2 linked regions of the Mytilus edulis genome follow. The protein of the gene in region 2 interacts with the protein of the main gene of each other region in a biochemical or structural test. Links are inferred from orthologs where the notes say so. Each region holds a gene or a part of one and is shown on either strand. Other genes may lie near its edges. The genes, in order: microtubule-associated protein 1 light chain 3 gamma-like and next to BRCA1 gene 1 protein-like.

The links.
Region 1: the proteins of next to BRCA1 gene 1 protein-like (region 2) and microtubule-associated protein 1 light chain 3 gamma-like form a complex in vitro, tested with the Homo sapiens proteins (2 studies listed by IntAct). The link is inferred for Mytilus edulis from reciprocal best matches to the Homo sapiens genes NBR1 and MAP1LC3C.

What each region holds. Positions count from the first base shown.
Region 1 is NC_092346.1:23,184,792-23,198,136, forward strand, and holds the start of microtubule-associated protein 1 light chain 3 gamma-like, read right to left. Parts: upstream 6,646-13,345; 5' UTR 6,518-6,645; coding exon 6,454-6,517; intron 6,418-6,453; exon of another isoform or gene 6,403-6,417; coding exon of another isoform or gene 6,375-6,402; intron 1-6,374.
Region 2 is NC_092357.1:35,896,049-35,909,272, forward strand, and holds the start of next to BRCA1 gene 1 protein-like, read right to left. Parts: upstream 5,602-13,224; 5' UTR 5,330-5,601; coding exon 5,216-5,329; intron 2,821-5,215; coding exon 2,758-2,820; intron 490-2,757; coding exon 448-489; intron 1-447. UniProt on the Homo sapiens protein: Ubiquitin-binding autophagy adapter that participates in different processes including host defense or intracellular homeostasis.

The sequences.
Region 1 (13,345 bases), on a different chromosome or scaffold from region 2:
ATATATTGAGGAACTTTTGATTTCATTTGTCAGAAGCCTAGTAATTTTTATCTGCTTAGTCCGCACAGGTTGAATGTGAGGCAGACTACAATGTTTTGAGACAATGTTTGGTTGTTTTGCTTATACTGCAACACAAGTACCGGTAACTTCACCAAATATATGTATTTTCGGTAGCACCTGTAACTTATAAAAAAATACATGTATTTTCGGTATCAACCATAACTTCACCAAATACATGTATTTTGGGTATCAACAACTAAGAACTTTAAGCAGATCTATGAGGTCAAACCTACAGTCCTTCACGATTTGAACTATATATATATATGTATTATCAACATCCAAAACAAGGCCTTTTTACAGTCTGAACAGGCTATTATTTGAACCTGGAATTATTTTCAATTATGGAATTTGCATAATTTCTTGTGTTTAAAATTTTTAATAAATTCCATATTTATTTGGTATCATAATCATTTGAGCGGTTAATAACACTTTCTTTACAATGTATTTTGGTTAGATATTTTTGTGCGCGGCACAGTACATTCTATTTAAAATATACTATTTTCTTTGTAATAGAAAGGTTGTGCGCAGCACAGAACATTTCAGTACAGAAAAAACATGGAATTTATTAAAAATTTCAATAACAAGATATCAAGCAAATTCTATAATTAAAAATAATTTTAAGTTCAAATAATAGCCTGTTAGTCACTGATCAATTTTTTCATAGTCTTTTATTTGACTTTATCCCATCAGTGAAAGACAAAATGTGTATGTCAATGCATTTTGACTGTGCAAATACACAGTTGCAGTATAAAGATATATATATCTGTCAGAGTGAATCACCCACAATCACTAGTTCAAAAGATATAAGGTCATTGTCAAATATAAAGTTTGTTTATTAAACTATCAGTACATGGACTGTAGGAGACAGTATCTGCACTGCAATAATAACAATCTGTATATCTGATCAACCTGATACAATTTATAGTCAGTCAATAATCCCAGAACATTCACACCTCACAATGTGTCTTCTGACCAAAAACAATTTGTACAACTTTCTGTATAATCATGATAGTAGAAAAACAAAGAATATGGCACAACATCATTAAATGAACAGTGCAAAGGATGTATTGCTGTTCTTCATCTCAAAGTCAAAGTAAGGCCTTCTACATGGAGTAAAAGAAAAATGACAAAAGAATCTCTCACCTCACCAGTCAGAGCTCAGACATAAATGTCATAAATAAGTCTCACTGGGAAAGCCATTTGGTTAAAGAGCCTGCTTATTATCTAGAAGCCCATAAAACATCTAGAAAAATGGACTGTGGTTAAAAGATAACCAGTAATCTTTAACTATAGATGTTTGACAGAAAATTGGATGTAAGACAAGAAGTTAGATGTCTTCTTTATTTTTAACCGTTCTTCTTTATTTCTAGACTTTCGTCCGGCGTTTTAGATGTTTACTGTTATCACTCTCATACTCTCAGATAACGATGTCTCTTTAATAATTCGCGTGAATGATAACGTGTGTATTAAGAAACGTTAACTATAGTATTGAAATGTTTCAGTTAAATTAATGCACATGATTTATCTAGTTTGACAGGAATTACCTGTTCGTCCGACAAAACTGATGTATATCGAGTTGCCAATAATAGAACCAGTGATGCGTGAGCGACGGTTATAAAAACATTGTTGTAAGGAAACATAAACAATGCTTACATAATCTGTTAAAACTAACCATCTTATTTCTCATCGTTTAAATGATGTTTTTTGAAAATATATATAGATCTGAATCTGCTTTTGGCTCATAGAGGTCTAAATTTGTAGACTTAAAAGATTTGTCTCCCTTTAATTTAAGACAAATTATTAGAATGAAATTCAAAACAGTGTGGCTGTGGCCATTGATTGACACATTAAATTCATCCATTGACTGGGACAATTTAGGTGAACGTTTGTATGTAACGACCACTGCTCACTATGTACTTTTTAAAGACACTTAAACTATGAGGTCACCAAAGGTTCTCAACACCTTAATAAAGTAATTCGAAAAATTAATCAGAAATAACACGATGTTTTGATTTATATCAATTATATAAATCAAAACATAAAGGTTATTCCTGATTAATTTTTGGAATTATTTTATAATTAAAGGCGTTAAGAAACCTTTGGTGACCCCACAGTTTAAATGTCTATCGTAGGTACATCGTGAATAGTGGTCGTTACAGACAAACGTTCACGTAAATTGTCCCAGTCAATGGATGAATTTAATGTGTCAATCAATGGCCACAGCCACACTGTTTTGAATTTCATTCTACTTTAACAAGTCAATTAATGTTGAGCAAGAATTGACTCCTACAAGTCAATGTTAAAGTTACTAAAATTGGTCATCTACAAGACCCATGCATATTTATAAAATATCATGCATCTACATGAAATTATGGCAACATTGAATGACAATGCTTTATAGATATAGGAAGAATTTAGATGTGGTATGAGTGCCAATGAGACAACTCTCCATCCAAGTAACAATTTATAAAAGTAAACCATTATAGGTCAAGGAACGGCCTTCAACACGGAGTTTTGGCTCACACTGAACAGCAAGCTATAAAGGGCCCCAAAATAACTTCTAGTGTAAAACCATTCAAATGGGAAAATCAACAGTTTAATCTAAATAAATATGAAAAACAAGAAACACGTATGAATTATACATAAACAGAAGACAACCACTGTACATCAGATTTGTCTGATTATAGACAAAAATGCATGACAGTATAAAACCAGGTGCTCCGCAGGGCGCAGCTTTATATGACCGCAGTGGTCAAACACTGAACAGTCGGGTCAAATTTGGTAACAATCTTCAAGCTTGATACTGTCTGAATTTGGATTGTGATCATATTTTTTGACATAATATGTTTCTGTCACAAAATAAATGTGGTCAAAGATCTAACAAATCTATTTGCCTTTAGAAGCTAAATAAAACAATGATTTAAGTTGATTCAACTACTATTCTGGACAAAGACAGATAACTCCAATCAATTGAAAATTTCTTGCTATTGCACAATATTGTGCAATTAGATATTTCTTGCTATTGCGCAATACTGTGCAATTGAAAATATTTGCTATTGCACAATACTGTGCAATTGAAGATTTCTTGCTATTGCACAATACTGTGCAATTGAAAATTTCTTACTATTGCACAATACTGTGCAATTGAAGATTTCTTGCTATTGCTGAATACTGTGCAATTGAAAATTTCTTGCTATTGCACAATACTTAACATAATAATTTTGGATCCTGATTTGAACCAACTTGAAAACTGGGCCCATCATCAAAAATCTAAGTACATGATTAAATTCAGCATATCAAAAAAGCCAAAGAATTCAATTTTTATTAAAATCAAACTTAGTTTAATTTTGGACCCTTTGGTATTTAATGTAGACCAATTTGAAAACGGGACTAAAAATTAAGAATCTACATACACAGTTAGATTTGGCATATCAAAGAACCCCAATTATTCAATTTTTGATGAAATCAAACAAAGTTCAATTTGGACCCTTTGCGCCCCTTATTCCTAAAAACCTGTTGGGACCAAAACTACCAAAATCAAACCCAACCTTCCTTTTATGGTCATAAACCTTGTGTTTAAATTTCAAAGATTTCTATTTACTTATACTAAAGTTTAATTTTGGACCCCGATTTGGACCAACTTGAAAACTGGGCCAATAATCAAAAATCTAAGTACATTTTTAGATTCAGCATATCAAAGAACCCCAAGGATTCAATTTTTGTTAAAATCAAACTAAGTTTAATTTTGAACCCTTTGGACCTTAATGTAGACCAATTGGAAAACAGAACCAAAAATTAAGAATCTACATACACAGTTAGATCCGGCATATCAAAGAACCCCAATTATTCAATTTTTGATGAAATCAAACAAAGTTCAATTTTGGACCCTTTGCACCCCTTATCCCTAAAAACCAGTTGGGACCAAAACTACCAAAATCAAACCCAACCTTCCTTTTATGATCAAAAACCTTGTGTTTAAATTTCAAAGATTTCTATTTACTTATACATGTACTAAAGTTATGGTGCGAAAACCAAGAATAATGCTTACTTGGGCCCCTTTTTGGCCCCTAATTCCTAAACTGTTCAGACCTCAACTCTCAAAATCAATCCCAACCTTCCTTATATGGTCATAAACCTTGTGTTTAAATTTCATTGATTTCTATTTATTTATACTAAAGTTATTGTGCGAAAACCAAGAATAATGCTTATTTTGGCCTTTTTTTGGCCCCTAATTCCTAAACTGTTTGAACTAAAACTCCCAAAATCAATCCCAACCTTCCTTTTGTGGTCATAAACCTTGTGTCTAAATTTCATAGATTTCTATTCACTTAAACTAAAGTTATGAAAACACATACACTGTACTGATTAACATGACTAATGAACAAAATTACAGTGTTTTTGGTTTGTGAGCTTTAGAGCAACGACAAGCTTGTATCTTTCTTGGAACTAGGTTCACTCCCTCCACTTTATTATGTAATGATCAATATGATAAGAAAGTTATTGAACCTTCAAATATTATTCTATGGGAGGCCATAAATCCATCCTTTTCTATGAACAAACCTTACCAGGAATCATGGATAGGAAACATTGCTTTAGAATATTCAGCTGTCATCTTTCATTCAATCTGATATTATCTTCATTGTTACCGGTATTCTATTTGAGGTCTGATCGTATGTTTACCGGGATACCCATAAATGTTTTGTAGCTGTTTCTATTCAGAATATGTGAACATGATCAGGATTTGTGGTTGACGTGTATCTTTTTTCAGTTTATCCCATTCTAGAGCATTTGTCTGGAGAAAATGTATATGCAGCTGAATTCCAATAATTAAGTTCTGCACATTATTCTCTATTCTGCATACCATCCAGACCCTCACCAGTCCATTTTGAGGTAATGATGTCTTTATGCTTTAGTATTTTTTTTAGTACAAATTACAATGTACTAATATTTTGTGAGACCATTATCATAAATTCAACAAAATCTTTGGCAAAGCCCGTCACAATGGCATAATAGTGTTGAATTTGTCTATCAAATAAATAAGTCTGAGCAAATGCTTTAACATTAGTTTTGCTTAAACAAACTTTTTAAAACTGTTAATTCAAAAACATATATTAAACTGCTGACTTTTTGAGATACAATATGTACTCAAAGTTTAAAGAAACTTGTAAAATTCATTCCAACTTCGTTTAAGATGCTGATATTTGACTTTCATTTTACTGACCTCCTATGATTTTTATTGGCATGATTGGTAGAATTTGGGATAGTCATATGACATTGAGTTTACATTCTTAATGACATGTATCACACATGTATTTATATATAACTTTTTTGCACATTTTCATTTATTTTTCAGTACATGTAGGTCCTATTTGGGTCCTTAATACCTATCCTATTTTTACATTAGGCATGTATTAGGTCACAGCACAGGCACTTGATTTCTGTCAATACTAATAAAATATTGGCAATGGAAAGAATAGAATAGACCAGAGACATAAATACATGTCTCTGAATAGACACTGTCTTGATGGTGTTAACATTCCTTGAAATGAAACTCAAGATTTATATATTTGAAAATGGCCAAATAATCGATAACCATGTCTTCTCTTAGTTTTTCCCCTACTCTTTAAGGTTCATCATAACAAATGGACAAATATGGCAGAATTTTCACCTCAAAAACTTCTCCGTGTACAGACTTACCTGTGCTGTTTGGAAAGTTTTAAGGCCTAGCATCCACTAAATATATAAAAGTTAAATGCATTGGTTTTTGATGGGGTTTTTTTTTCTGCAGAAGGTGTAAAAATAAACAAACACCTGAATTTATTAACTTTGATCTGAGACTACTATGTGTTATAGTAGTCTCAGCTTTGATACTGTCCACTCACTGACTCAGATAAACTCTTTAACTGAATAATTCACCTGTAGTTGTGTGAAGATACCTCTTGTCCATGTCAATTGAGGACAATCAAAACAATACAAACCGGTTTTTACCTGAAGGGCTCATCTCAAACTTTAGCTGCGGAACCGTAGCTCTTAGGTCCTTATGTTATTTTTTGACTATTTGCGGCACAGCTACTCAAACTTGTACCACAACTTTAATAGTTAATTTTCACACCTCATGCATGAAGGGAAAAAAATGCCCATCAAAATCCAAAAGAGATCTTTCTGAAACACAAAAATTATGCATTTAAATTTAATATATCTAGTGGATGCCATGCATGAAAACATTTCCAACTTCACAGGTAAGTCTGTACCCAGGTTTTTGACATGTAAATACAGCCATATTTGTCCGTTTGTTATGATGAACTGTAATGTACCTGTCATAACTTGGGAAAACTTTGTCATTACTCGATTACTGTATTGGCATTTTTATATTTTGCTGTATCGTGTACTTACAAAAACTCTTTCTCTGTTTGAATGTTTTAGCCCCCTCGGCCGTATTATACTGCCTTTCAGGCATGTTACCACTAATATTGTGTGTATCTAACTGCGAACACTTTTCAATCTGTCATCAGCTGGTTATGACGTAAAACCCAAGGTTCAGAGAAAATCATAGTCGTTATTTGGTATTAGGATACGCCGCTGAATAACTCGGCCTAAAGCTAACTCGGACTATAACAAACTCGGCCCACCACTATTACTATACTATATATAAAAAATATTAATTTTCGCGAACCATTTAGGTCACGGAAATTCCAAAATATGGCATCAGTAAGGAGAGTTGTACAAATAATGTAAATACACAGAACCCCCATCCAATATTCATCTTTAGCTAAAAGTATTCATCATTTGAACACGTTCTCATCTAAAATTAGAAATTCTCATATGCCACTTAACTTATTTTTGTGTGAAAAGGCTACAACATTTGGGATTATTGATATATTTCGCGTTAAAAACTCACTGTATAGCATTAACAATATTTGTTTGTCATCTTTTGGCAAGATTTGTGATCTTTCTTTGTAAATGCGAACCAAAATTTCATCATTTTATCATAAACCTTTTTCATAGGATGCTAGAATGAACTATTTTAACACCAAGGAAATAGTTCAAGTAAATAAACCTTAAAAAGATACTCATTCTGCATTTTTGTTATACTTTTATGTCATTTTTGAAATATATACATAACATAGCATTTACCCATCTTTATTTCAGATGTTTCAATGAAAAGAATGCTAAATTAAGTCTTTTTTCTCTTACTTGTATTTGTCAGGTCTGTATGCCTGCATACCACCCTGGTGTATGCTAAAACCTCACTGTATGTGTATACTAGAATTTGTCAGGTCTGTATGCCAGCATACCGACCTGGTTAATGCTAAACTCTCACTCTATGCATATTCAAGTATTTTTCAGGTCTGTATGCTAGCATACCGACCTGGTAAATGCTAAACTCTCACTCTATGCATATATACTAGCATTTTTCATGTCTGTATGCTAGCATACCGACCTGTTAATTCTTAACTCTCACTCTATGCACATCCTAGTATTTGTCAGGTCTGTATGCTAGCATACCGACCTGGTGTATGTTAAACTCTCACTCTATGCATATACTAGTATTTTTCAGGTCTGTATGCTAGCATACCGACATGGTTAATGCTAAACTTTCACTCTATGCATATACTAGCATTTTTCAGGTCTGTATGCTAGCATACCGACCTGGTTAATGCAAAACTCTCACTCTATGCATATATACTAGTATTTGTCAGGTCTGTTTGCTAGCATACTGACCTGGTGTATGTTAAAAACTCACTCTATGTACATACAAGTATTTGTCAGGTCTGTATGCTAGCATACCGACCTGGTGTATGTTAAACTCTCACTTTCTGCGTATATAAGTATTTGTCAGGTCTGTATTCCTGCATACAAATCTGGTGTATTTAGAACCTTTAATATATTTATTTTGGCATAGTTAAGGTCTGTATGCCTGTATACGAACCTGGGATATGTAAACCGATTTTTTTTTTAATTTATTTTGGCTTTTTTTCTGCTAGGTACTTGTATGCCTTCATGGATTCTAAAATTTTATTCTGGATTCATGTTTGTATTGGCAAGTCTGTATGCCTGAATGCTAAGTATTTACTGAGTAGTAACATTTCTTATTTAATTATGTTTGCATACCTCCCTTAGAAAATAAGGAGATGTGTATGATTGTGAAATGAAAAGGTTGAATTACTTATGTATAGCCTTCAACTTCATTTGAATTTGAAAGAAAGCTCTTAATTCTTAACTGCAACACTCAGGGGTTAATTCCCGTATACTAACCCGCTTTTCAATAAACCCTTGTAAAACAATGGAATTCATGGGTTTGATTGTCGGTATACCAACGTATAATCCTATACCCTTTGGAACATAAAAGTTTGCATATTTGTTTGACATTTTCAGTTCACGGTATTCTTGCATGCAACACTGGTGTACGGTGAAAGCTTATTTTTCTTGCATGGATACATACAAGCTTTAATTGCTTGTATACCAATCTATGTTTTATTGAATTGCAGTTTTACATACATTCTAGTATTGTGAAACCAAGCTGTTTTTTAGTAAGCTTGTGTTATTGTGTATGGTTTGCCCCAGTCTTAAATGTCTGCATATTTGGTGGCACTTATTAGATATTAAGCAAGCTGATTGGTTTGCATTCTAACCAGCCTTATATTGTATTCATATTTTGAATTGCAAAACTATCATTTTTCATCATTCTCTAAGTTATAGACTTCAAGAGGGGCGAAAGATACCAGAGGAACAGGCAAACTCATAAATCGAAAATAAACTGATAACACCACGACATGAAATATACAAATTAAAGTACACAAGAAACAGCATAGAAAACAAACACAGTCTGAGCAATTAACACGAACCCTAACCAAAAACTGGGGATGATCTCAGGTGCTCCAGAAGGGTAAGCAGATACTGCTCCAAATGTCCAACAGTGGCACCGTCGGGTTGCTCATGTTTTTACAAACCCGATTTAACTAGCTTTATACAGTAAGTCAAATTCATGAAAAGGGAAGAGGATTGTAGTTATGACGTGAGAAACATATCCCATATCATCTATGAAACGGTTATTCCATAACGGTCAACCAACTATATACTATGGTAACAATTGTGTATACACTGGAGTTGTAAAAACAAATCCTTCAACCAGGAAAGCCAAAGAATTGATGCCTTTTCTAGTGAAGCCATGCATACATTATTAGCAGGAACAGCAAAAAGACTGGTGTTGTTCATTGGTGTCATAGTTTTCTAGGAAGGCATTGGTTTAACCTAACCAGTCACTAAGAAGTGTTACAATTAAATTCATAAGCAACACATAAATAGTTACATGAAAGGTATAGCCAATGTTTGAAAAATAAAATGCTGAAACGAGAAATGGAAACTACATATTATATACATATACATAGGCGAGTAAATATTTTACACTTCACAAATTTAACATTGATGTGGCGTGGTCAACTACATCAAAGATTTGATGGTCAATTATACTTAATTTGTTGAATGATCTTTCATCTTGATTAATATTAAATGTGACAGTTTGCATGTACGGTACATTAGTTGCATAGTAGAATTGTAATAACATTTGGACGTTTATCAAAGCAAGGTTTAATGTAATTTAAGGACAGCGGTTCATAGCACGATTTTGTAAGAAACTTTGCATTGATCACTTATATTGGTGTAGTAGCTTGAAGTAACAATTAAGTTGCGATATAGATTATAATGAAGTAACATGTTGTTTTATAGAGTTGGAACTAAGTAACGTTTTGTATTGGAATTTATAACTGTGAACCTGGGCTGTGAACCTTTTAAATATATCATATATATACATGTACTTTTATATGATTAAACATGTGAACATTAAACAGACTTCGTTACTAGTATATAGACGGTAGTGAGTCTATATATATATGGTGAAATATTTAATAGCTATTTCCTTATGTAAACGGGCAAGAAGGATTAGATCCCAGATACATATATCCAAAATAATGACTGTCCAAAATACACAGAACAAAGACCCGTTTAGCGTTACATTTATATCACAATTACTGATTTTAAAGTTTATATGAACTAAGGGTTCTTTATAGTGGTTGAATTGAACTCGTTCCCTTGAAAAACAAATTGTCGCCATGCATGTGATTGATTGAAGATCAATGAAATATGTCATTTCCTTAGTACTAGTAACATTCATTTTTCCAATTTGAACACTCTTGACAAATAGACAAGATGCAAATTATTGCAAGAACATAGTGATTTATTTAAGTACTTCATCTTGACAGTCGCTGCATGATTTTCAAAAAAAAATAACTTACAAGGCCAAGACGACCCCCTACTGACGAAGTGGTTATCTTAAAAGTTTACATTACAGCAATTTTGCGCCTGTCCTAACTTGTAGCAAGGAACCTCTGGCCTTTTATTTTTTTTTATAATGAATTTTGCGCAATAATTGCATGCTTTGTAAATGACACAAAAATGGAAACAAACTACAAAACCTGCAAGACACAGACATTAATATACTTGATTTTTTTCAAATTGTCGAGTAAAAAATGCTGCTTTTCAGAAACGATTTTTAGTGGCAGGAAACGACTAGAATGCAGGATTTTAACGCTATGAACCCCAGAGCTTCTGGGGGCCTTGAGCGGCTCCCATACCCTCTGCAGTAAGACGCTGGCGGAACACTTCCGTGTCCCATATGTCTAATTTGCCAAAAAACGTACCATTATTTATGGGCCTGCTACGCCTATGTATTAGTGAAATAAAAGTATCTGAAGTATCTTAAAAAAAGATCTTCATAAATTACCCTGTTACAGTATTTATTTAAACAGTCTAGTGGCGGATTAAGATATTTTCATAAAGGGGGAGGGGGTTCCAGCCAAGGTTCAGTAATTCCTATATAATCAACCAAATTTGCCAATTTTAACATGTGAGCGCTCAGCTTCCCCTTTTTTTTACCTGGGAAAGTTGTTTCCCTAAAAGTTGTAAGAATAAGACATGAATATCCAGAAGTTTCATAAGGGGGATGAGATAGGGAGGGCACTGCATGACTTCTTTAGAGATGGACGCTTCAGTACTGTTTCCCTCAATAAATCAACTAAAGTTTTCCCACAAAGCACTGGCATAGCACCCCCTTATATAGATTCTACCTCTTGCTACATGTGTACATGTTCAAGTCGACCTCTAAAAAAGAGGGTGTTAAATGAAGTCGTGAAAAATGTACAAAAACAGCTAGGTTTACTTACCATAAATATATCCGACATTCTGTTTTGCTTCTGGTTTATTCAAATCAAGGTAATAGGGCGTATTTTTGTCCATTTTCTTCTCCGTGAGGGGAACTCCTTCATTGATCATTCAAATTGTTTACATTTATAAATGACGTCGTCTAGATGGAGTGCGTGACTCCGCAGATAAATAGTCCTTTTTTCTTTGACTTTTTAATAATTACCAATACCAAGTATAAACAAAACAGGTTGTTTTGTAATCAATTTCTATTATTCTAATTAAGTGTGCTGGTAAGTAACTTGTGTAAGTCAAGGCTATCCGTCTATATCCCTCCGCCTTACGTCAGAAGGTCTCTGACGTCATATAAATTTTTGTCAACAACTTTGAACTTGGAACCTTGTACAATCTGAAGACACTAAACAGGATGATTGTTCAAATATTAAATTAAATAACTATGAAGAACATTTTCAAAATCTTGGTAAGGCTGAAAAATATGATAACTCTTTTAAAGAAAAAGTTAAAAAAGATTTAAATATGCTTGAGAGTACTTTAGAACATAATATTTATACTGATGGTCCATTTTCAATATCAGAAGTAAAGAACTGTATAAAAGAATTAAAATCAGGGAAAAGCTCTGGACCTGACTTAATATCTAATGAAATTATAAAATATAGTAGCATTGTTACAGTTACAGCCATAGTTAAACTTTTTAATCTTATTTTATCATCTGGTATTTACCCCACCAGCTGGAGAAAAGCATTTATTGTTTTAATCCATAAGTCTGGAGATAAAGAAGACATATGTAACTATAGAGGCATTTCTATTTTAAACTGTCTAGCAAAATTATATAGCTCTATTTTGAATAAAAGACTAGTAAAGCATTACGAAAATAAGTTCTCCAGTCATCAATTTGGATTTCGTTCAAATCACAGAACATCTGATAGCATATTTATTTTAAAAACTCTTGTCACTAAATATTTGAAAAAAAATAAGAAAAAGCTGTTTGCTTGTTTTGTAGATTTGCGTGGTGCTTTTGACTCTGTTTGGCATAATGGCCTGTTGTATAAATTGATAAATGATGGTGTTGGTGTGAAATTTTATACTACTTTGAAAAACATGTATAGTTTATCCCAGTCTGCACTGAAGATTGGCAATGAACACTCTTTGTTTTTTCCAATAATTAGAGGTGTAAGACAAGGGGACAGTTTAAGTCCTACTTTGTTTAATTGTTATATAAATGATTTACATTCAATTTTTGATGTAAATTGTAACCCTCCAGTTCTTGATACTTCAAGTATCCAAACTCTCAGCTATGCAGATGATTTAGTGTTACTGTCCGAGACACACCAGGGGCTTCAAAACGCATTAGATAAACTAAATAAATATTGCACTAAATGGCAATTGAGTGTTAATACAAACAAGACTAAAATTCTAGTTTTTCAGAATATTTATAAACAATCCCCACCCCTCTTGTTTAATAATAAATTTTTGACTGAAGTTAAGGACTTCAAATTTCTAGGGAATATTATTAACTATAGGGGAAATTTTACAAAAACTACTGAAGAGCTGTCTAAAAAAGGCATTAAAGTTTTATTTTTATTGAGAAAATATATGTCAAATTTTAATTTTGTTCCCACTAATTTGTCATGTAAATTATTTGATACTCTTATAAGACCTATTTTGACATACAACTCTGAGATTTGGTTTATGGATAATTTTCAGTCAGCTTATAGAGCATCTAATAGAGCTGCAGTAAATAATACATTTTGTGATACTCTTGCATTAGCAGAAAAAATATCCCTTTGAGAAGGTTCATTCTAAATTTTGTAAAGCAGTATTAGGACTGAAAAAGACAGCCACTAACATAGGTGCTAGATCAGAATTAGGTAGATTTACTTTGGACTCCTATATAAAAACTCAAACACTCATGTATTTTTATAGAATAAATTGTAATGATATTAATCCCCTGGTTAAAGAATCTCTACAAACAAACATAAATTTACATTCAGAAGGAATTTATTCTTGGTACTCATTTGCAGATAAATTTTTTAAAGAAATGAAAATAAACCCAGAAAATTACTCTAAT
Region 2 (13,224 bases):
CTATTTCATGTATTTACAAATATCTAATCAGTCCTGATTTTCGAACTCATCTAAGACATTGCTGAAATATGATCTAAGTGTCATAAAAGTCTGACAAGAATTGTACAACTGATAGCAATAACAAGCAAGGACAGATTAACCCCCTCCTATTTCAATGTGTTTTCACTGGGGACAATTACCCAACATTGCACATTTACTGCATAGTTTTAATAAATTAATATGCAACTTGAACTTTATTAAACTTAAAAATGTTAAAGCTAAGGTAAATACAACTTTACCTGTCTTCATGTCTGATCTTTCATTTTTAACTATATAATAAAAGGGAACGACACACTGATCATGCTGATCTGACTTCTATTTAACATTGTTACATGCTTAACATTTCATAAAAGCTCAGCTGCTAACAAAACTGAATCTCTACAGAAAATCTTTCATCAATGTACTTACTTTGAAAGCTTCTACTAACTCCTCTTGACTGCTTAAAATAATCTAAATAAGAAAAGCAAAACAGATTGTGGGCAAGAAGTCATTACCAGAGATGGGTCTGATTACTTTCAATGTAATTGATTAAATTACAATTAAAAAAATGTACTTTGTCATCATTTTGACTCATTACACACGTAACAGGTGTCTGCTGAAAGTAAGTCTACCTAGCTAGAAATTTTTATGATGGGTGCCACTGGTGGAGCAGGATCTGCTTACAATTCAGTGACATTAGACATACCTTAGACCTATGTTGATATGGGCAGAATCAATTTGCGCCAATTGCAGTTTTGAAAAGATATTAATTGCGCCACTCTCTTTTATTTTGATGGTATTAATTGCGCCAATAAATGAAATGAAAGTGCGCCACATTTACCTGTAAATATTGTTTACCTATATCATACCTGTACATGTTTTACCTCTATCATACATGTACTAAAATTAACCTTTCCACTTAAGATTTAACTGAACACTTCATCAAATTTAAGAAAACTCACCAAAAAATAAATTGTTTAGTAATAGAATGTTTGTTCACGAGTCAAGATGTCTGATAAACTATTCAAGAAAATAGAGTCTGATAGAGGAAAACCGGTCGTCATTGTTGAAGAACACAAATTCCATCAGGCATTTGTAAAGGAAACTGGAGAAATAAGGTGGAGATGTACAGTTAAGTCGTGTTGTGCGAGGTTATTCACAGATCTATGAATCGTGTACAATTATTTTGAATGGAGAATTAGATCATATTCATGAAACTTAAATGTCCAGAAATTAGAACGTCAAATTTTGAGAACTGCATGCAAAAGAAAAGTAACCGATATTATGTCAGAGCGACCTTCAAAAATAACAAATTCAGAGCTCTTCAAAATTGAAGAAGAAAATTTAGAAAAGAAAGATTTAAATTATGTGCGTCAGTCAATGTATATAAATAGAGAGAAAAGAAAACTGCATCCTGCTCAAGTGAAAAATCAAGCAGAATTTCACAGAATGATATCGGTGTTGTTACAAACACAGATGATGACTTTGTATTGTGTAACGATCAAGAAAGTCAATCACTTAGTTGTTATATAAATAAAAATAAATAGAATTGGCGCAATTAGATGATTATTTTATTGGCGCAAATGATACCTACAGTTTTGAAAATCAGGTGACGCAAAAGAAGTATTGGCGCAATTATGTTGTGGCGCAAATGAGTTACTTTTTGGCGCAAAAAAATATCGCCCTTTGATATATTGTGTTTTGTTTTTTTCATTCAAATTTGAGTCTATATTTTATAATAACTGACACATGGCTAATTATCTGGATGTATTTATAAACCAGATTATGTATCTGTAATTAGATATTCTTTTGTCTACAATACACAGCAAGACAGCAAGTTGATGTTGTTATTCTGCTTGAAGCAATTCTTACATTATTGTGCCTTCCAGTCTGATAATACCCACAAATAAGAACCTAAATATTTTGGGTTGAGTTCTTATTGCTAGTCTTAAAACGATCATAAAACAAGGTTTGTCTCACAGTTTACTACTACATTTGTACATGTACACACAACTTTTGAAATATAAACCTTATCCATTGTACATGTTGTAGGTTCATTCATTGTAATCTTTACGCTAGTTTTCAAAGAAAAAATTTAGAAAGAAAGAAGTACAAAATGTACATATAAATCATAAATGGAATGTTATTTCAGCAATCTATACTGGCTTTTATGGTAAGGCCAAACAAAATATATGCCTGTTTAAGGTTACATCATCAAAATAAATAGGGTAGGTAGGTCGGTATTTCCATTTTATTATTTTTTTCCATTTTATTTTTGTGCCATGATTTTGAGTTGTGCAGTCCGTCTTGCCGTGGTCTGAGTTGTCCATCGGCCGAGTTTACCCCTTTTTTTAATGATTGGATTATTTCCCTTTGTTATTGATTGGAAAAAAATGGCGGCAAAATGTTTTTTTCATCACAGGAGTTGCGAATTTCCTTAAAACAGCTATCATATTCATGATTATGAACATTGGGATGTATCAGGCAACACTATCTTCACTTTTAACTCAAGTTCAGTTTATTATTCACTTTACGACGGAAATAAAATGGCTTAGGGTCAGCGCTCAAAATAGGGTTGGTCAGGTAACCGTAAACAGACATATATTTTTTTTGGCCTAAACAATTATTGAATTAATTGAGATTGATTAGTTAATGTATTGTAAGACTTATATAATATTATACTATGTATACATTTTTGTAACAGGAAAAAATAACTTAGGCATATGTTATCAAACTTACATAGTCACCATCTGTATCCACATAGAATACCTCCACATTTTCACAGTCATACTGGACCTTCAACTGAAAGACAACATACAATTTACATACATGTACAAAAATGCTATCATATTATGTAAGTGTTTTAGATTAAATTTAAGCCTGAGTCTTGTTTTATCTTCTATTTAATTCCTGATATCTATGACCATGATGACCTTTTGAAAATGTCTGTATTATACTTGGTTTCACAAAATACAATGTATCTACATTTTTCATCTGAAAACTTTCGAAATTTGAACATAATAAACATTTCATTGACATTGAAAAATTTTAAATTGAATTTTCATGATTTTATTTATTTGATAAATTTTAAACACAAAAGTTTTACTATTTTAGAAGGAAATATTAAATTGGTTTGACAGAATAAAGAAGAAGTTGAGCAACAAATAAATTAAGTATTAAGTTGAAGCTTTATCCAAAATATTATGAAATTACTGTGTGCAGTAGTCCAGTACTACAATGTCAAATGAATGTATATATATATAGTTCTTTAGCATGTTTAGATAAATTGGAGGACTCTATGAGAGATGAAATGAATTCAGGGATGATTCCACTATATAGTTTAGGGCCACTTAGCGGCCCTTAAATCAGCCAGCGGCCCCCAAAAAATGTACATGAAAATGAATTCCCAATTCAGGAAAATAAAATAAAAATCAATATTTTCGGAAAAGTTTCTGTCACCAATTAAGGCAACTATAATTTTTCAGAGTTTGTTGTCAAAACATTTTAAAATCCGGATAAAGATGCTGTTTACGGTCGCATTTTATTAACAATGATTTAATTATGTCAAAATGTGGCAAAAAAATTTATCATCCGAATTCAATTGATTAATATGTTATAGGAGCAGTGCATGAGGAGTATTCGATCTTGTAAAAGCAGATCGCCCAGCAGGTTGATAAAAATGGGTGTCAAAGCAGACCTCGTCAGAAAAAAAAAAAAATTTTGATATAACATTGATGGATAAAGTTAAATGGGCGCCGAACTTGTAAAAGCAGATCGCCCAGCAGAGCCGGTTATATAATATGATGAAAATTTGTTTTGTAAAAGAAATTATTTCCTCAAAAGTGTAATTTTTGATTTTATAAAAATGGATAATTACCACGTGAATCACTGTTTATATTTACTCGGAAGAAATTGTTCCGAGTATTCCTTATTTTGATTGGTCAATTTGTTACCTGGATACAGGACGCTCTTATATATTTCTTTGTTTCAGGATTCGCGGTACATTTGAAATTTTTCATTGAAATTATTTCTTGCATGCTAGATTAACAAGCTTAAATTGTGTATTGTTTATATGATAGTTAAAATTAATCTGCTTAATTCTTTGTTCAACACAGTTGTTTGTTTATTTTTTGGCGGCCGTTGGCTTGGCGGCTAGCTCATGTGTTTATTCGAGCTGTTTGGATGAATATATTTATCATTTCTAATGGCTAGACGCTATATTTGCTCTTTAACATTAACTTTACATGTTATATGTGACTGTCAGTGGTATAGTCGAGTGTTTGTCCTGTGCTGTGAAATATATCTGTTTGTCTTGTGTATATATTGTGCCATAATAAAATTGAGTAACTTTGATTTCTTTTGTGAGAAGCCTGGTAATTGACAAAAGTTTGAGCGTTTTTTGAAGATAATGTTGATGATAGACCATTCATATCATACGATGTCATCATTATGGAACTATTTCACAAGTTTTGAAGATGATTCAAATAATTTTAAAGAACACTGGTTCAATGCTTTAAATATATTATCAATTATATATATGAACTTTTGTAACTGCTTTTTTCAGTGGTTTATGTAAGCTGAAATATATGTTTTTGTAATAGGCCTAGGTAACTATAGCTAAGATGATAGACTGGCGCATCATGTTCAATGATATTCATGTAATAACAGTACTGTTGCCCATCCGGAATTACTCAAAATGTTACAACTTACATGAACATCAGTGTACAGGTTGAACTTAATAATATACATGTTCCGTTTTTACAGGAAAATAATGTTATTTCGTCTTAGATTTTATGCTTAAAAAAATCCCAATTAGAATAAAAGTTCCCAATTTGATGTTCAAGGGACCCATTTGAAAACACCTGGAATCATCCCTGGAATTACCTACAGACATGCCAAGGTGATTGACATACAGAAAACAACTTAATATTAACAGGCATACATAAAATTCCCTTTGCCTTGAATCTGCATCTTGATCATGACATGTTCATGATGTTGTCATTGTTGATCAGCTGATTGAGCAAATATATGATAATTTCAAATTCAGCTTTCGTTTTTAAGTACAGTAATTCAGATTTCATCTAAATAGTGTATTTATTTGAATACAACGTTATTAATGATGCAAATCGTGTTAAATAAGAGTTATGTTTGACGACTTTCATAAAAAGGTCATATGACATAAGATTTCTGACTTTACCATGGCTTCCAGATCTCGCCATTGTGTCTTTGGATTTAGTTGAAATATTTGTGAGGCTTCGTTGTCCCCTTCGTATCGCACATTTATTGCAATAAGTTCATCCATTTCTACCATGTGGCTAAGTGTCGATGTTCCCAATTAATGTGTATTCGAGAAATTCACAATATTATACTTTCATCTTCCTTTCTTGTTGACAAATATGACGCATTACCATCTAAACACAAATCTGAATGTACAGGAACAAATAGTGCAATATGTTGACGATTTTCCATAAAAATCACGTAAAATTAAAACAAATATGCATGTGTTATTCTAAATTTCGTACAAAATTTTATTATATGTAGATTTTGTCTGCAGCATTATTTAAGCAAAGCTAATATTTTTAATGCGACGGATTAGATACTAGCGCATTAATATTATATTTTCTATTTTTAGAAATTATCTGAGTGACGTAAACATTGATCGCTAATGACACGTCTGTTTTGAAACATGACGAATTTAGACGTGACAACATACTTGCCGTCCCAAATTCTCATTTCGATTATTCTAGAAATCTGATTTATAGATGATTGAACAGTTTTCTATTGTTTTACTATTGTACGTCATTGTGGCCCCCTTTTATATCACGGGGCTGAAACAAACAATATTTTTTCTCAGAACCAAAAACAAATTATTTTTTTCTCCAAAAACTAGAAACAAACTTTTTTCCCCCAAATCATACCACATCTTCTTATTTTTATAATAAATGCACTGAGTTATCTGTATAACGTTATATATATATAGCTGTAATCTTTGTTATATCTTAATTTCTTTGACTTGTTTAATATATATATCTAATATTATGTCATGTATGTAGAGAAGGAAGTTTTCTATATACCCATCCGGAAAACCAAATTGTGTTTTTTTGGTAATTGTTTTTTTTTTTGTCAAGGTTCGTGTTAAGGGGGTCGATCCGTGTTGCCGTCTTCTATATTTGTCATTTGACAATAGCTAGAGATTATTATGATTATATTTAAAACCTTAAAAACTGTGTCTATTTTAAAATTTCCATATATAATCTAGTAGTACATAATATAATTCGGCGATTTATCAGGAGTTCTCATGTTCCTCTAACATGCCTAATGCAAACATGGCAAAGTAATAAATTTAATAGGTGCCCATTGGTCTTCATTGTTTTTGGTAAACATGGTAAATGCTAATTGCTGTTTAAGTAAACACTATAAATAACGAATAAATCTTATTGCAATGGAATTTCTAGGAAAAGAAACTGAATCACTAGCTAAAAGCGTATATATATATACCATCTTTAAATTTCAAAGCTGAGACCTTGTATCTCCTATAACACACGAACAGCCACTACACTGAGGTGTCTCATGATAAAGGTTAAAGGTTAGTATTTCTCTGTCCTGAGTGTTCTTGTATTTCGTACTGTATTCCTGTCATGTAAAGTTGTCATTTTACCAGTATATATTCAACATTGCCATATAGCGCGAGGTTTGGTTAACCACAAAACCAGGTTCAACCCACCATGTTTTCTTAAAATGTCCAGAACAAATCAGGAATACGGCAGTTATTGTCATCTAATAGTTCGTTTCTATGTATTTTGCATTGTCGTTTGTTTTTTGTTGTTTCGTTGCTTTCCTCTTATATATATATAGTTGACGTGTTTCCCTCGGTTTCAGTTTGTAACTTTGATTTGTTTTCTCTCAATCTATTATTTGAACTTTTGAACAGCGGAATTACTACCAACAGACGACTCTATCAATCAATTATGACTCTATTCCTATAGACTGACAAGCCTGAATGAACTCATGATAGATGCTGCAGGATTACAATTGTGTACGCAAAATCGCGTTTTGTCTTCAAAAGACTCCTAAGTATCGCTTGAATAAATAAAAAAGAAATGCCAAAAAGTTCTAAGTGGAAAAGTATTTGAAGACCCAAAATTTTGCCATATACAGCTGCAGCTAGTTGATATCAGAGTCGTTAAGAGAGATTTATACAATTAGATTTGCAATAAATATATACCTACTGTTTTCATTATGTTTGTTTTTACTATGTATTTGCCATGACCAAAATTTGTTTTTGTTTGTTTCCCGAATAAAGATATTATTATTATTCTTGTTTTATTAAAAATTTAGAATGGAAACGGGGAATGTGTCCAAGAGACAACAAAACCGACCATAGAGCAGACAACAGCCGAAGGCCACCACTGGGTCTTCGATGCAGCGATCGAGAAACTCCCGCACCCGGAGGAGTCATTCAGCTGGTTATATTAGTATATATGTGTGGTCTTGGCCAACGGTTAATGTGACTTCAAATGTTATTTATAAAAGTTTCATTGCGTTTCATGTTTTATATCTGTGTTACATATGTTTCGATTTATAATTCAGAAATACCCAGTTGCTTATCAAAACGCAGTCGAATAGAAACAGGATTGCCATGAACTGTTGAGATGTAGAGGGCGTCGTATTAAGAGTAAAAATATACCATACACATATTCAACATACAGATCGTGTGAGTATGGGAATTCATAGGTTTGATTCATATAAAAAATAAGACGATGTGGTAGGATTGCCTATGAGACAACTATTCACAAAAGATAAATGGTTGGTCAATGGATGTATGCAATCATGACGGCTTGCCTATGAAAAACCAACGACTTAAAATTTGTATCTGCTGATTCCACACCAAGCACACGTCAGTAAGACGTTAAATCAAAGACTTTAGGGATTGCAGTCATTCAAGATAATGATAACAAAAGCTGAAAGCCATAACGATTTGCTACAAAACTTTAACAAAACTGAAAACATAAGACATGGATTTGAGGGGGGGGGGGGGGGGGGGGGGGGTGTCCTTAATTTGCTATCTAAAAGAAAAATTGCTCGTTATTCTTCAACTTTTTAAAAATCAATTGGCTTTATGTAATTACTTGATACCTGTATTCTGGACATTGTATTTTTTCCTGTAACCAGTATATAAGTTACCGTAAACTGTTAAATTTTTTAATTTATGCTGTTATTCTTTATACTTTATCACACACACCCTCCCCCACCCCCCATTATTCTATTTTCTTTATATTTTATCACACACACCCTCCCCCACCCCCCATTATTCTATTTTTTTTATATTTTATCACACCCCCCCTCCCCCACCCCCCCCCCCCATTATTCTATTTTCTTTATATTTTATCACACACACCCTCCCCCACCCCCCATTATTCTATTTTCTTTATATTTTATCACACACACCCTCCCCCACCCCCCATTATTCTATTTTCTTTATATTTTATCACACACACCCTCCCCTCCCCCCATTATTCTATTTTCTTTATATTTTATCACACACCCCCTCCCCCACCCCCATTATTCTATTTTCTTTATATTTTATCACACACACCTCCCCCCACCCCCCATTATTCTATTTTCTTTATATTTTATCACACACACCCTCCCCCACCCCCCATTATTCTATTTTCTTTATATTTTATCACACACCCCCTCCCCCACCCCCCATTATTCTATTTTCCTTATATTTTATCACACACCCCCTCCCCCACCCCCCATTATTCTATTTTCTTTATATTTTATCACACACACCCTCCCCCACCCCCCATTATTCTATTTTCTTTATATATTTTGCTCTTTATTCTCTATTCTGTAAATCCCGTAAACACGGCCTCATATATAACAGGATGATTTTTGTCAAACAGATAAAAGAAAAATAAACGATTGTTTTCCAAAGTAAAACAAATAAAATCCTGGAATACCGTGTAGACAGGAACATCATAACTATGTATACAATGTATGATCTTTTCCGTGAATATAATTATAGACATGTAAGTTAGAATTACAAAGTTTCACAGGAAACAGAAAACTTGATATATTTTTCAAGTTTAATGGGAAATAATTATAGCTCAATAGATATCCTTCTGAAATTCACATCTATATTCTCAGGCTCTAGCAAATATATATACATCATGCTACAGAGAAGCAGGGGTGTCATGCGTTTGGCCCGTCTGTCCGTCTGTCAGTCATCAGGATTTTAGGGTCGTGATAAATCAATAACTGTTAAATTGGATCGTGATTACCATAAATGGACATTTGATCACACATAATGAAAACATACAACGTGTATAAAAGGTCGTTAGGGTCACAACGTCTATTTAAGGTCAAATTCAAAAATTGATAAAAATCTTTATAAATTTAAAATACCCCCCTATACCCAACCAAAGCAATCAGATTTCAAGGTTATTGCATCATATCATGAATAAAAAAAAAAATCCTGGTATTTCAGGAATATATTTTTTGAGTGGTGAAAAGGGGGGGGGGATTATGAAAAAAATAATTTAGATAAATTTCAATTGGATGTTGTTTTTTTAATTTATGGGGAGGGGGGATTTTTAATTTACAACTTTTTTCAAATATACATTTTAAATTTGGGGGACTTTGTTTTATTATGGGGTGTTATAACCAATAAAATTTCAAGATTAATTTTGTGCTTCATAAGAAATAAGTTATATTTATACCAACAGAACATGCTTAACAAATCTAAAACACACAAAAAGTTAGATTGATGTAAATGTCAGGTTTGGACATTGGGCCAGCAGTTTTTCAAGTGTAAGGGACAGAAACTTGATGGTTACCCAGTGGCGGATCCAGGGGGTGAGGGGGAGGGGGTTGGACCCCCCTTTTTTTGGATGACCAATGGATTTGAATGGAAGCATATAGTTGGAACCCCCCCCCCCCTTTACTCTAGGTTGGGAACCCCAACCCCCTGTTTTAAATGGCTAGATCCGCCCCTGGTTACCAGATTTCTAACCCATTGATTTTTTTACATGAAGGACGACTACAACAACATTTATAATTCATGAAAATGTATATTTTACATGTATCTGCATTCTTTTCTATGATACAAACAGGTAATACATATATGTAAAGGGTAAGGAAATTAACGTGCCTGGTCAAATTCAATTTACTTAGTAGTTTTCTTTATTTCTTTCCCCTTCAAAGTATTTATGTTGATGCTGGACTTAGGTCGTCTCTTGAAATCTTCCTTATTGGCCTAATACACATATATTGCCAATTATAATTTAATTATATTTTTCTTGATTTCAAAATTGTTTCAGGTATTTTTTGGGATGCACATCAGTGTCCTACATGTAGTTTATACTATGATGAGACTCAAATACTGCATTGATATCCTGCAGTATTTTGGCATTGTCCCTAATGTGTCTTCAAGTTCTATTGTTTATGTTGCTGTATGAAAAAGTATAACAACACTACTTAATTCCAAGGAAAATTCAAAAACAGGATTCCTCACATTAAATGGCAAAATAAAAAGCTCAAACACATCAAACTATGGACAACAACTGTCCCAAAAATATACTCTATAAAGAACAGCCACAAATATTACAGGTCTGTATATCGTATTCACAGCTCTTTCTCTTTTTAAACTTTAGTTAACTCTTCTTTCTTTTGTTTTCTTCTTCTTCATGTTATCATCTTAAATAAAGGCAATAGTAACATTTTCTTAAATACATGTTTAATTTATTCTAGTTAGAATGTTGCATTTTTTGGACAACTATCCAAACTTCAAATAATGTACAGTTAGTTTATAGTTTAATCTATATGTCATAGAGGCATTTTGAGTTATTTTGACCTTCAGTATTTTGTATAGATTTGGACTAGTTCTAATTATTTGTGGTGTCATAAATTTAGAGAAATCATCACGTGACAAGTTCAAGTTGAGTTAATTACATGTTATGTAATTAATTGGACATTCTCATCAGCATCAGTATTATTAGTTGACATAATTGTAATTATGAATTTGTACTAATTAGAGTGAATTCGTTTACTCAAAACTTGTCATGATAAAATAGTATATATGTTGTTAATTCAATAAGTAAGAAGAGAGTAGGATAGTAACATCAATAGAATTGTATTATTACAGTAGGAGTCATAATATAGAAACATTTACCATTGTATGTGATTTTGGTTTGGAATTAAATTAGAAAATCTTGCTGTGAGTTTGGTATTAGTTCAGTGCCAGAGCTAAGTTTACGTCTTCAGCATCTCTAGCTGACCTCAACGTTTTTCTAATGATTTTACATAAAAAAATAATGACCCTGTAACAAGGAAGCCAGCAGCCTCTTTGTTACATATATATCAAAAGTACAAGATCATCTATTTTATTGATCTTCATTCACCAATCATTTCTTATGCCTACCTTAATTGGCTTCAGTTGATTGTCTTTTTTAACATTCTAATGAGATTAATAAAAACAGGAGTAAAAATATCTGGTAGGTTTTTTTATCTTTTTTAATGCCCTGCTTGTGTGGACAGATCTTGAAAGACACTTGTCTATTGTCTGAGACTGTATGTTGACATCCATGCAGTAGTATTATCTTAATTTTTTTCTATAGTTGTAGTTTGTATATTGACATCAATATAATAAATAGTTGACACAGCATAGGTTTCTGACACAGAATGAATGTGGTCTAATGAACTTAAAATTTTTGTTTTGCCTTTGAGCAATTCACTATGCTGTTGAATATTAATCCTCTCAAAAAATTTGAAGAAATTTTCTTTTTATTTATGAAATCTGAAATGAGAAAAATTGACCCCCTCCCCCAATTTGTTTTTCACATCCCCCTTTCCCTTATTCCAAAATTGATCTGTTCAAATTTCTAATGGCCCCTAGCAATAACTACTCATTTAAATACATCATAATATTAAAATGTAAAAAAAGTGCTTGTTATCACTGAATGGTGAAGATTGTTTTAATTTATCAGTTGGTAGTAAAAATGAATATACATTGTATATTGTATAAAACAATGATTTAAGTTGATTCAACTACTATTCTGGACAAAGAAAGATAACTCCAATTGGAAATTTCTTGCTATTGCACAATATTGTGCAATTAGATATTTTTTGCTATTTCGCAATACTGTGCAATTATTGAAAATACTTGCCATTGCACAATACTGTGCAATTGAAGATTTCTTGCTATTGCTGAATACTGGGCAATTGAAGATTTCTTGCTATTGCTGAATACTGGGCAATTGAAAATTTCTTGCTATTGCACAATACTTAATATAATAATTTTGGATCCTGATTTGGACCAACTTGAAAACTGGGCCCATAATCAAAAATCTAAGTACATGTTTAGATTCAGCATATCAAAGAAGCCCAAGAATTTAATTTTGGACCCTTTGGACCTTTATGTAGACCAATTTGAAAACGGGACCAAAAATTAAGAATCTACATACACAGTTAGATTCGGCATATCAAAGAACCCCAATTATTCAATTTTTGATGAAATCAAACAAAGAACCAAAACTACCAAAATCAATCCCAACCTTCCTTTTATGGTCATAAACCTTGTGTTTAAATTTCATAGATTTCTATTTACTTATACTAAAGTTATTGTGCGAAAACCAAGAATAATGCTTATTTGGGCCCTTTTTGGCCCCTAATTCCTAAAATGTTGGGACCATAACTCCCAAAACCAATCCCAACCTTCCTTTTGTGGTCATAAACCTTGTGTTAAAATTTCATAGATTTCTATTCACTTTTACTCTAAAGTTAGAGTGAGAAAACTAAAAGTATTCGGATGACGATGCAGACAACGACGCCAACGTGATACCAATATACGACTGAAAAATTTTCAATTTTTGCGGTCGTATAAAAATAGAGATGTCTAGTGGTACTGTAAATTCAGAAATTATTGTGATGTTTTTATTATTGCAAAAATGCGGGCGGGTTAACGTTGTAATTGCAATAATTTAAACTCTCATTTTGAAAGTATTTATATAAGTCAAACAGGATTTTTCTCAATAATGCAAAAATTAGAATCGCATTTTAGTCCAAAATGATAAAATCACAATAATAAATGCACCCATAATTTCCAAATTTACAGTATCAAAAAAACAAGATAAACCTTTTTATTGGTCTTCATTCCCCAATCAGTTTGTATGCCTACCATAATTAGCTTGATTGTCCATTGTA